Linked DNA regions of Ovis aries. The protein of the gene in region 2 purifies or fractionates together with the protein of the main gene of each other region. This does not show direct contact. Links are inferred from orthologs where the notes say so. Each region holds a gene or a part of one and is shown on either strand. Other genes may lie near its edges.

The links.
Region 1: the proteins of PIM1 (region 2) and EDC3 purify together in Homo sapiens (affinity purification with mass spectrometry; 3 studies listed by BioGRID and IntAct, counting the BioPlex papers as one, with this or other methods). This does not show direct contact. The link is inferred for Ovis aries from reciprocal best matches to the Homo sapiens genes PIM1 and EDC3.

The regions. Positions count from the first base shown.
Region 1 is NC_056071.1:31,654,615-31,661,092, forward strand, and holds the start of EDC3 (enhancer of mRNA-decapping protein 3), read left to right. Parts: upstream 1-2,710; 5' UTR 2,711-2,850; intron 2,851-6,478. UniProt on the Homo sapiens protein: Binds single-stranded RNA. Involved in the process of mRNA degradation and in the positive regulation of mRNA decapping. May play a role in spermiogenesis and oogenesis.
Region 2 is NC_056073.1:11,143,235-11,149,701, forward strand, and holds the start of PIM1 (serine/threonine-protein kinase pim-1), read left to right. Parts: upstream 1-2,670; 5' UTR 2,671-3,066; coding exon 3,067-3,148; intron 3,149-3,267; coding exon 3,268-3,374; intron 3,375-3,484; coding exon 3,485-3,535; intron 3,536-3,633; coding exon 3,634-4,000; intron 4,001-5,609; coding exon 5,610-5,786; intron 5,787-6,467. UniProt on the Homo sapiens protein: Proto-oncogene with serine/threonine kinase activity involved in cell survival and cell proliferation and thus providing a selective advantage in tumorigenesis.

The DNA of each region.
Region 1 (6,478 bases), on a different chromosome or scaffold from region 2:
CAAATGGGTATAACCATAAAAAGTGCCTCTGTTATAATCAGCCTGGATTCCTCCTCTTCCAAACTCTATGTAACTTTTTCTGGATGCCAAAATGTTGTCCTGGGATGGTAATGCCTACTGCCAGTCTCAGGCTGCCAAGCACATTCGTGTACTGTCGGTTTTTTTTTTTAATATAGATTTTTCATTTCTCTTGAATAGGAGTGACAGCACCAGGTGTACAGTTAAATATGTTTCCAATTAAGTTTTCAAAAATTATCATTAGTGACACATGGATCTTAATATATTTGATGAATTTCTATTGTTATTATTGATGCCCATACTGTCCTACTTTTGACCAATGGGAGCCTCTTCAAGTTGGCATCTGAGTTATTTTGACAAAAATGTAGTAGTTTTTGATAGCTTCTTTGCTATCTTGTACAACAGTATGTTTCAGGCACATAGTGTGTATTTCTTGTCCCAATCAGTGTTCAGTTTTAACACACTGAGTCAGTCTGTATATATGGTGGTTGTAGCAAGGACAAGGAGTTTGGAAGGACTTTATAGCATGACTTCCTGGCTTCCCTAACTCTATAAGATGCTGATCTTTAATCTGAATTTTTTGTGTAATTAGTAAACATTCCCGATTCTGCTGAGAAAACATACCATTTGTGTAAAACTGTGTGAAACAACGATTCTCCATTCTAATTCTGAATGTATTTGCCATTCTCTGTAGATCAAAGGAGAAACTCAATAATTCTTAAGAGCTTTAAGAAACTTAAAAGTCTGGGTGATTGATCTTTCCATGAGGTCAAAGTTCCAAAACAATGCAGCAGAATTCTCTAAGCAGAGCAATTCATTTAGTAGAATTAAGGCAGTTGTTGATCTTTTCCAAAGTTTAGTGACTGATCAGCTCAGACTTCAGATCTGACTAGAGACTCCCAGTTTGAGTTCCAGGGAAAGTCTATATAGAGGATCTTTGGACAATCCTTTCATTCATTCAATACACATTTATTTTAGAACCTACTATTTGGCAGGCACTGTGAGATCAACCCTGGGATTTCTTTGGAAGGAATGATGCTAAAGCTGAAACTCCAGTACTTTGGTCACCTCATGCGAAGAGTTGACTCATTGGAAAAGACTCTGATGCTGGGAGGGATTGGGGGCAGGAGAAGAAGGGGACAACAGAGGATGAGATGGCTGGATGGCATCACGGACTCGATGGACTCGAGTCTGAGTGAACTCCAGCATTTGGTGATGACAGGGAGGCCTGGCGTGCTGCGATTCATGGGGTCGCAAAGAGTCGGACACGACTGAGCGACTGAACTGAACTGAACTGTGCAAGGTGATTGGAGAAGGCAATGGCACCCTATTCCAGTACTCTTGCCTGGAAAATCCCATGGACGGAGGAGCCTGGTAGACTGCAGTCCATGGGGTAAGGCAGAGTCGGACACAACTGAAGCGACTTAGCAGCAGCAGTGCAAGGTGATGGGGATGCAAGAGTAGGCATAATATCCAACTGACCTCTGGGGTTACAGCAGTGTTTGCTACAGAGAACAAGATGAAAGGTTGATTCTCCTGTGCGTTTAAAAAATAACTTGGAGTGGATTATACTGAAGAGACGTAGCACATATGCATACCACCATAACCAAAGGGAGGCACAAGAGAATTAACAACCTTTTGTGTGTGTGTGTGGAATATCAATCATGGTCAGCAAATCTCATTAATTTCACAGTAACTGTTAGCTATTATTTCCAGAGAGGCACAGCTCCTTTGTAAAATGATAATAATAATTAAAAAGAAAAGGTAGAGCAAAGATTCAACTCTGAGTCTGATACACCAGGCGTTTCCAAACCTTGGTCTGCTAAGAATTGACTGGAAGAAACCTTTAAAATAACAGATGCCATGGACTCTCCAGACCTACTAAAACAGAATTTTTAGTGTCGGAGGAAGGAAAGGGACAGTTCTTGAAAACAGAAAAAAATTTAAAGTTCTTCGACTTATTTTGCATGAGCCAGATTTGGAACCCCTGCCCTCCTCTACGCTGCCTGCTCAAGCAGTGGTTCCTAAACCAGATGTCAGGCTTCAAGATGACCTTGGCAACTATAAACTTACTCATTACATTCAGTCTTGATCCTAAACGGCTGCTTTTTTCAAAATCAAGGCGACCGAGATTCTAAAATGCCACAGGAAGGAGAGTGGCACTTTCCCATGTACTGAGTACTAGGGGTGGCAGTGGGGAAAGGTATTCAAGCACAGTTTGGCTGACACTAAGCCCCAAACGAGCTGAAGCTGATAAACTTTGAAGATCAACCACGAAGGAAATTTTTTTCCTTTAATCCATCACGGGGATCTACTAATTGCATCCCACAGCTGCAACTGATCGAGGATAGGGGCCATGAGAACAGAGGCAGCCTCCTAGCCAAAGTCTTCCGCTCTGGTTCGGTGATTAGCATAAGAGGAACTGGCAGGAAAGTCGGAGCTTTCCATCAATGCTACGAGAGGGAAGACAGCTCCCCAGCAACCGAGCCTGGGACGCAGGCAGGACTCCAACTCGAACCCAGACTCCACCCGTATAGGTAGCCGGGGCACAGGGAACTAGGCCTAGCAGGCGCGGTTCTGGAAGGCCACACAGCTGGTCCTAGTAGTTATTGTTTCCAAATTCTCAAATTTCCCGGGCGCCCCGCCACCGGGTTCCGAAGCGTCGCGCCGGAAGTGACCTCACGACGGTGGCGTGGAGACGCAGGGCGCTTCCGGCGGCGGCCGTGGCTGTGGGGGTGGGTGTGAAGAAGACCCTTAGTTTCAGGGTCTTGCGGTGCTTCGAGGCAGGCTTGGTGTGGTGAACCGAGGAGGCGTAGGCTTGGAGGCGTAGAGGTAGGCGCGACGGGGGCCGGGTGGCTGGTGGGCGCTCGTGGGAGGGGTCTTCCAGGGTTGCCAGGGAGTTTGGTTTTAGGCTTCGTGGTTCCAGGCCTTGCAGACTTCTAGAGCGGAGGGTTCGAGATAGGGGCCGCTTCGGGTGCGCTGGGGCCCATTACTAGGACTTGCCTCCGGGGCATGGTTTGAGGTGGAGGTCGAGGGAACGGGACTCTCAGCAGTCGAGGAATTGTGGGAGGTGTGAGGCGTTAGCGGCCTAGGCTCTTAGTTTAGCTTTGTTAATGGCTCCTGCAGCCCACCCCCTCATTGCTCCCTGCCCCAGTTTCCTTTTGCACAGTGGAGAACGGTGGCAGGGAAGAACGCGAGTACCACATCCATGACAGATATCTGGGGGACGGAGATGAACTGGAGTCTGAGAGGAGAGGGTGGCTGAGAAATTAGTGATACCTGGCAGGGGGCAGCTTCTGCTATTCCTGGAGACTTACTTCCCCTTGATTCTTTACTGTTGTTAGTGAAAGTCTTAGTTTCTTATTATCGGTACTCTTTGTGTGATATTGGTTGAATTGATCAGTAATTGACTTGTTGAATGGTTCAAGTGTTTTGGTGTGGGGGAGGCATAGTCCTCACCTGCTTGGCCAGTTGGTTGTCAACAAACTTCCCAATTTCAGAGGTGGAAGGAGTCCAAACAGCCCTCTCCTGGCGTACCAGATGAGGATCTCGAGACCCAGATTGGTTTTGGTTCTCTTTCCTATGGGGTGGAGGAGCCTGGTGGGCTACAGTCCACCGGGTCGCAAAGAGTCGGACACGACTGAGCGACTTAACTTTCCTAGCCACAGACTAAACCGATTTCAGTTTGCGCTCTGTCAAATAAAGGTCTTAATCCCATCAAAACTTAAGTGATTGCCTCTGAGCAGGTCACTATTTCAGCTGGAAACCTGATGGAGTCTAGTCTTTTATTTATGAATGGAAGATTAAATGTACTGAGCACAGAATTCCTATTTTTTGGTTTCTCTGTACGAAATGGAAATGGTTACAAAAAACATAATTCTTTGAGTGCTAAGAATCTTTTGTTGAAGCCTTCTTGAGGACTGTGGGACTAATAGAGTGTCTCTAACTTTTTTGACCTGTGACCCACAGTTAATGTATTTTGCATTCTGACTCTTTGTGACCCCTGCATGCATAGAGTGTGTACACAGGAAACAAAAATTTGCCTTCTATGTGTGTGGTACCCTCTGACATTTTCTATTTCATTGAAAGGAAAAAAAAAAAGTTGATTGTAACTCACTAAACTGATTCTGACCTGTAATGGGTCTGACTGCTAAAGAACTGTAGTTTGAAAAACGCTGGACTAGAAAATGTTTAATTAAGATTCTTGAGAGTCCAGGATTCGTAAGTAATGCAAGGTGGAAAATACAGCATTTTTCTGTTATCAACTACAGGAGCAGGGTTATTAGAATTCTTCAATCAGAACAACAGGACATGACATCCATATTAGTATCCCAAAGGAGTACAGTATCTGTAATGATAATGTGTCCGAATTTTGGCAAGGCATTTGAGTCTTTTCTGGTGACCTGGTGGGTGAGATGGGGTGGGAGATTTGCCCTATTGTGGTTAAATTAGGTGACGGCATGACTTTGGGCATCTGTGTCTGTAGGGATTTGTTTTATGGATACAATTACAGCTGAGAATTTGGTGATCAGTGTTGAGGATCTGTCACTTTTTTATATGCAGTGTGTATTTGAAGCCTTATCTGAAGAGTGTTCTTATCAAATTTGTTGCCTAATGAAGTGAAGAGAGAAAGTATCATCTGGTTAATCTCATTTGCCCAGTGTAGTTTAATGAAATGGAAGGGTCATCATAAATTTAAGTAATTTAAACATTTAATTGAAAATGGTTTAGTATGTAATTTCTGTTAGGTTGTAAATATTGACTTTTGAGAAATAAATACAAAGTTTTCTAAATCTAATAGTAATTTGATGCTTTAAAAGTATATAGATAATCTTTTTTAGATATAAAAGCCCTCGAAGATATGGCTGTGTATAAATGGTGTATTACATTACCTGATTTTCAGATGTTAAGCCAGTCTTGTGTTCCTAGAATGGATTCTGTTGAATCTTGGTGTATCCTACTTTCTATATATTGCTGAATTCAATTTGCTGATATTAAAAATTTTTATGAGGAATATTGGTCTGAGGTATCCTCTTCCTGTGATGTCTTTGGACTGGACTCAGTATCAAGAGTAAAATTACCCTCATAATGTGAGTTGGAAAACGTTATTCTGCTGTCTTCTGAAAGAATTTATGTAGAATTGGTAATTATTTCTTTCTTTACGTTTGATAGAGTTTACCAGCAAAGTCCTCTGCGCCTGGGCTTTTTCGTGTGGGAAGATTTTAAAATTACTCATTCAATTTCTTTACTTGGTGTAAGTCTGTCTGGATTTTTTTTTTTTTTTAACTTTTTGAGTCAGTTTTGGTAGTTTTATCTTTCTGGGAATTTCTTATTTTCTTTTTTCTTTTTGAACTTGTATGCACCCCACAGAACTGTATCCTGAAACAGGAGTCAGCAAAGTTTTTCTGTAAAGGGCTTGCTGGTAGGCTTTGTGGGCCATGTGGTCTCCGTTAGTACTACTCAGTTCTCTCATTGACGTGCAGAAACAGCCACAGACAGTAAGCAGAGAGCTGTACTAGGTTCTGTTCCAATTCTGCTTTGTTAGCAGTGGGCCAGATTTGGTACATGGGTGTAGTTTTCTGACTCCTGTTTTAAAGTAATAAACTTTATGGTTGAAAGTCTTTATTTGCTATCTAGGCAGATCAGCTTCATGATAGAGTAGGGTGGAAGTTGATTCCCTTGCTTCCATGTCTTTGTGTACTCCTAAGGATGTGTGTATTCCACTTTGAAGATTGAGTCTTCATTTCCAAGATGTTGTAGAGGTAATTTAGGCATTTTTGTAGTTTTTCAGGTGAGACGGAAGGTGACCCTCGTAGTATAATTTTCTAGGGCCATAACTTGAATCCCCTATTTGGCCAGTATTCCTTCTGTGAAAAGGAGGTGTTTGTAGGACTTCGCTGGTGGCCCAGTGGTTAAGACTCTGCTCTTCCACTGCAGGGGGAATGAGTTTGATCCCTGGTCAGGGAACAGAAATCCTGCAAGCTGCCCCCCCCCACCCCCCGCCCAAAAAGGGAGACATTTGAAGTAAAATTTGGTATATGGTAAAAATTATATAGATTATCTCATTTAATCTTCACAGTGGTTCTATGAGATCGTTTAATTGGTATACAGTTGACTCTTGAACAGTTGGGGGCCAGGGCCTCCAACCGTCTGCAAAGTTGAAAATCTGAGACTAACCTATAGCTGGCCCTCCGTATACATGGTTCTTCTGTATCTGTGGTTCTGCATCTCACATTCAGGCAACTGCCCATCGTGTAGTACTGTTGTATTTGGTGAAGGAAATAGGTATTTTAAGTGGACCTGCACCATTCAAGCCCATGTTGTTCGAGGGTCAGCTCTACTTCCCATTTTATAATTGAGATAGTTGAGACTCAGATTAGGATAATTTGCTCATAATTCTGGCCTTTAATGTCTGACTTCAGAAGCCCGTGCCTTTTTCACTATGCTGCCTTTTGTGGAA
Region 2 (6,467 bases):
ACAACTAGTTTGAATCATATTCTCTCCCAAGATGATTAAAATCTAACTAGCTAGTACGTTATCTTTGAAACTTCCATGGTGCAAGACCATCCCCAAATTCTTCCTTTTCATCATCGTTATAATCATAATCAGCATCATTGCCATCATAGCTAATATTTATTGGAAGTTTACTTCATGCCAGTCTACGAGCTTTATATGTAGAATTTCATTTGCTCCTTACAACAGTCCTATGAGGGAGGTGTCATTATCTCCATTCAGAGTCTAAAGCAATTTGAGGAAAGATCAAGCTGATGAAAGGTTAAGCAACTTCATGAATGTCATATTAAGTAGTAGGTGCCAGATCCCAGATCTGAAAGCAGGCTAACCCAGTTTAAAGATTGTTCCTAACCTTTATTTTTACTTTGCCTAAGCCCACTTAATTCACTTAAATTTGGTATAAAATGACTTTAATCATGAACTTTTTGTTGGGACCCATTTTGATTTTTCCCTTCATCAATGAATATTGGATAACGTATTCATTCAAGGAATAGGAAGACAAGGTATAAATAACTGAAAAGTTAATAGATTTTTTTAAAAAAACCAAAAACCAAGAAACAAATACATGATTAAGTGGCATAGACAGTTTGCCTAGCAATCTGGAGTGGAACTATTTTAATTGTGTCCTGAAGTCTGGAAGGACTTTAAATGAAAGTGTAGAGGGGGCATTCTCAGAACAATTTGACTACCTCTACAAAGGCAGAAAGTCCAGCTCTACAAATGCTAGACAAGTGGGAACAAGTGAGAATAGTCCAGTAGGGCTTATGAGAGGAAAGGAAGAGGGGACGGAGGTGGGGGTCACATACATTGATTGATACTTGACGTCTTACTCAGTACAAAGAACAGTTTTAGAGCCCAACATGAGGAAAATTTTGGATAGTCAGGGGTTGAATTTGTGTTGTTTTATCTCTTCTTCTCTTAGCTGTTGTATGACCCTGTGTCATTTTATTTATGTTTCATTTTCCTATCTGTAAAAAAGGAATAATTCTTGTTCCCTTGGGCTTTTTCCTAGTCATCGAAAATGAATGAGTTAGGCCACAGTATACAAAAGGAAAATATGTAATATTTCATAAGATAATAAAAGTTGTGAAATATCTGAGCATCTTTATATAACAGCATTGTAGAAAACTTTTAATGAAACATTTAAATTCATTAATGAGTGCAGCTATACAGATCCTCAGACCTCATTTTTTAAGTGGCAGAAACTTGAAAAAAAAATTAAAAGAGGATGTAGTTAGCTTTCAATTACTTAGGAGGACCCGACAACTCAATTTACGGATTACAAAGAATTTTAATTTACTCATTTCACACGTCGTTATCAACTCTACAAGAAGTTTAAAAGGACAAAGGATGAAAGTCGAATTGGTCAGTTTCCGTGTTATTTCCAAGGGGGCATGGAGTGGGGGTGAGGGGGGAATTTCCTTTGAGTCAAGACTGGGGGCAGCCAATAATTGCTAATATTGCCTGTCTGGTAATAACAGGATGACGAGAAGGTGAATACAACGTGAAAACTCTGATCACATCTAGCGCGCCTTCCCACCCTCGCTCTTAGATGAGGCATTTTCTTCTCTCCCGCCCTCACAGAAGGGGCTGAGACAGCATCTGGCATCACAATACTAACATTTGTTTCGTGATTTCCTCTTTACTGGGCACTCTGACACACATCACTTCTTCGGCATCAGGATTCACTGGAACCTTTCTGCATTTTTTAAAACATAAAAATCTGCCAGGGGATCTGGGGGCCGATCTTTTCACCGGCTGTGACAATCGCGATCTGGACCCCTCCCCCGAGCGAGCGGAGCTCTCCGGGTTTTATTCCAGGCCTGTGACACCTCCGTGAAGCCGCCGTTGTGACTCATATCTTGCAGATCCTGCGCCCCCAACATCCAAACCCCAGAGAATCCAGCCCGATCCCACAGCGCGTGGTCAACCCGCCCAAGCCGACTTGGAGGTCTCGCGTCTGAGTCAGACATAAAGACCACCCTCGTCGGCATCCTCCCCCTGCCCCCCCGACACAGTCGCTCACACCCCGGCGCGCCGGCCGCCGGGCCTCGGGGCCTGACACACCAACGGCTGTCTTCTCTGCGCAACTTGTTATGCTCCAGCTCTTAGCCCTTGACCCAAAAACCCCGAGAAATGGAGAGCCGCAGAGCCGGCCTCGGGCGGCCTTTGAAGGCTTTGTTATTGTTTGGGTTTGAATCGATACGCCCCTCCCCATCCTTCCTCCCTCGCGGCTCAACACCCAGCTCCCGCCTCCCCGCACGCCCCAGCGCCCCTCCCCCTCCATTTTGGCGCCTTTTCCTTCCCGCCACGTCGTGGCGGCGTAGAGACCATTCTGACCGCGAGAGCCGGGGCGGGGCGTGGGCGGGGCGCGCGCCGCGTTATGCAGATGAGCCGGCCTCTGGTTGGCTGGAGGCGCGCCGGCGGGGGCGGGGGCGGGGCGCGGCCACGGAGGGCGAGCGGGGAGGGGGGGGTGCGGAGGGGAGTCGCCCTGTCCCGCCGCTCCCCCACCCCCTCTCCTCCCTCCGCCGGCCCGGCCGCCCGGCTTCCCCCGCCTAGGCCTCCCGGAGAGGCCCCGCCCCATCCCCGCCCGCCCGCGCGCCCCCTCCCCGCCGGCGCGCTCCGCCCCTTTTACTCCTGGCGGCAGGGCGAGCCGGGCGTCTGCTGCAGCGGCCGCGGTGGCGGAGGAGGCCGGAGAGGACTTGGCGGCGGCGGCGGTGGCGGGACCGGCAACAGCAGCAGCAGCTACAGCTACACACTCCCTGTGCCGCAGCGCTGCCACACCAGCCCCTCGAGCCGCCCACCCTGCCGCCCGCGGCGCTGCCTGACCCTGCCGGCGTGTCCGTCAGCCGCCAGCGCCCCCAGTCGTCCTCCGACTCGCCCTCGGCCTTCCGCGCCAGCCGCAGCCGCAGCCGCAACGCCACCCGCAGCCTCAGCCCCGGCCTTAGGCACAGCCGCCGGCGCAGCCCTAGCCCCTACTGCAGTAGCTCCTCCAGACACAGCCTCAGCGCCGACACCCTGGAGGTGGGGATGCTCTTGTCCAAAATCAACTCGCTTGCCCACCTGCGCGCCGCGCCCTGCAGCGATCTGCACGCCACCAAGCTGGCGCCGGGTAAGTGCCTCTCTCCCACCAACCCTGGATGGAGGTGGGGGGCGGCTGGACCTCGAGGGTTGAAGCTGGGGGGCTCGCGGGCCGTCACTGAGTCTCCTGGGACTCTTCCTTTCCTATAGGCAAGGAGAAGGAGCCCCTGGAGTCGCAGTACCAGGTGGGCCCGCTCCTGGGCAGCGGCGGCTTCGGCTCGGTGTACTCAGGCATTCGTGTCGCCGACAACTTGCCGGTGAGTGGGCGCCCGGCTTGCGAGGAGGGCGCGCCGGCCGGGGGCACGCCGGTGTGTTTGCCCCCCGGCGAGGGAATCTCTAACAGAGACTCTATGGGGGGGCTTTCCAGGTGGCCATCAAGCACGTGGAGAAGGACCGGATTTCCGACTGGGGAGAGCTGGTGAGTATCCTGGAGGGAGCGACCCCCCGGGATGGGTAGAGTGGGGCACCCTGTGACCCGTCCCCGCCCTAACTGCAGCCCCCCTCGCCCCTCTGCAGCCTAATGGCACCCGAGTGCCCATGGAAGTGGTTCTGCTGAAGAAGGTGAGCTCGGGCTTCTCCGGCGTCATTAGGCTCCTGGACTGGTTCGAGAGGCCCGACAGTTTCGTCCTGATCCTGGAGAGGCCGGAGCCAGTGCAAGACCTCTTCGACTTTATCACGGAAAGAGGGGCCCTGCAGGAGGAGCTGGCCCGCAGCTTCTTCTGGCAGGTGCTGGAGGCGGTGCGACACTGCCACGACTGCGGGGTGCTTCACCGCGACATCAAGGACGAGAACATCCTTATCGACCTCAATCGCGGCGAGCTCAAGCTCATCGACTTCGGGTCGGGGGCGCTGCTCAAGGACACCGTCTACACGGACTTCGATGGTGAGTCACGCCTGAGGGGGAGCTCCCCGGGAGGGGAACTGCCCAGGTGACTCGGCCTGGCCTGGAGGCCTCGGCAGGCTTCCCTCCCCGGCCCTTTGTAAAGGTCATCGGGCCGCCTGGCTCGATGCTAGCAGGGGTGGGGCGAAGGAGGGCTTCCCAGGGTAGGAAAGCTGGGAATTTCGAGCCAGCTGAACCTGTAATGTCTCTGGCATGATTTTATTTTTTAAGTGAAATTCAGTGGGTTCCAAGCTTTCCCCATGAATAAGAGGTTGTGGGCAACCGGCCGTAGCCCAGATTTCTGAAGTCTGACCCAGTTTCCCCGCCGGTAGAAGGATGAGAGGGAGGGGACAGGGGGAGGAGAGAGCGGGAGAGATGAAAATTGATTGCCGGTTTTGTCATTTTTGTTTTGATTTATAAGGGAGTTTTCGGTTGAGGTAGTTTTTAGAGCTGCAGTGTGTGTGTGTGTGTGTGTGTGTGTGTGTGTGTGTGTGTGTGTGTGTGTGTGTTTTCCCCTCCCCTTTGATCTAGGGACGAATAAGGAAGAGAAGAGTAGTTTTACTAAATAATTCATTTTGTTGATTCTTGTTATTATTATTTTATCTTGGTGGTGATGTGGAGTGAGGGACTCGGGAATGAATGTTGTGAAATAGGATCTCTTGCTGGTTTGAAAATTAGTTGGGTGTCTCCACAGAGAGGATGAAAACCTATCCTAGGGAGGGGCTTGGAGCGGGTTCTTTCAGAAAAGACGGAATGGAGAGCTCGGAGATCAAAGCAGAGGAGGGTGGGTCATCATCTGAGCGGCTTAACCTAACAAACGACAGCCTTTCAAAACTTGTGACTGGGGCTTGTGGTTTGTGTTTATTTGCCCTTGGAGGACGCTGGGTTGGGCTGTATTTTTTTTTGTATCTAACAGTTAATGGCTGGCCGGGTCCTCCCATGTTTTTTCCTTCCAGTCTTTGCTGCCCCCTGGTGAGCGCCAGCGGGATGGCCCCACATTTTTTTTTTACAACTCAAAGTTTGTAAACAGGAATCACGTGGTCTGAAGCCAGCCCAGCAGTGCTACCTCTCCCTTGGATGGAGGAAGGGGTGTGTGGGTGTCTGCCCTTGCATTCAGAGGGTGGAGAGGAAGGCCTCTTAAAGGGCACCCTGACTTAGGATATTGTGCAAGTGTCCTTGCCTGGATCATATCTGAGGTGGCACTCTGACCTGCTCCTGGGCGAGGACCTCTAATGCAATTTAAGGATAGTCTGTGGGGATACCTCCCTTGATTATGCATGTGTTCATCTCCTCCTCCAGTTGTGGGTGGTCCTACCACATCCAAGTCTGGTGCTTGGGTTTGTGGCTGGCCCTGTTTGTTTCTTGGAGCTGTTTGTTTATGGTCTGGGCTGATAGAGAAGTCGGTAATGCTTTGGGTTGGAGAGTTGCCATAAGCTGCTCAACCACTCTTGTTAGCCCTAGGGAGGGGGGATTGGAGTTCACTCAGCTGCTGACAGAAGTAGGGTGGTGCCTTATTTATTTTTTTTTTTAAGTTACTCAGCATACCTCTCAGTTGCTGTGAGTTTTATTTTTGCTAAAAGCATGTTTTCCTTCCTATTCCCTTGACTCACAGGGACCCGAGTGTATAGTCCTCCAGAGTGGATCCGCTACCATCGCTACCATGGCAGGTCGGCAGCCGTCTGGTCTCTGGGGATCCTGCTGTATGACATGGTGTGCGGAGATATTCCCTTTGAGCACGATGAGGAGATCGTCAGGGGCCAAGTTTTCTTCAGGCAGCGGGTCTCCTCAGGTAACTTCTGGGAAGCCCCTTATTGAGGAGAGGCTGGAATCACGAGGCTGATAGTCCCTGACGAGCTTGCAGAGCTTTACTCCCCAGGAGAGGCTGTGACCCTTGGTTTTAGCAGGATTCTTGGCCAGTGATCATGCTTGAGAGCCAGTCTGCAGGAATCAAATGATGTGCATTTGTGGGTGCTTTCGCAGGGAGGTCAGAGGAAGAGCACCTGTGAATATTAGGAAGAAAAAGATCATTTAGTATCACTGGAAGATTTTTTTCATTTGTTTTCAAATACCCCAAAATCCTGATCCCTTAACTCCTGGCTGTTTTGCCCGGGAGTAAGAAGTTGAGGGCTCTTTGAGCCTTCTCCCTTAAGGCAGGCCAGGCCCTCTCTAAATACTGCGGTTCCAGTGACCTCATTGTGGGTGGTGTTCATATTTATAAGTCGGCTAGGTGAATTGAATCACTTCATCATGCTTAGTGATGTCTCATCAAAATCCCTTGTCATCAGCCTTCCTATTTCTGGTGAGTGGGCGTCGTGGGAAAGGTCTTGAAGTTTGAAAACCACAGGTTTAAGAGGGGAGCTGGTTTTTTGTTTTTTTTTTAAGCTGAAAGCAAACTGGAGGCTCTAGATGTTAGTTAATACCTTCTCATTGAAGAAGCAGCCTTCTAGAAAGGGCCTGGTCTCTCTGTTGG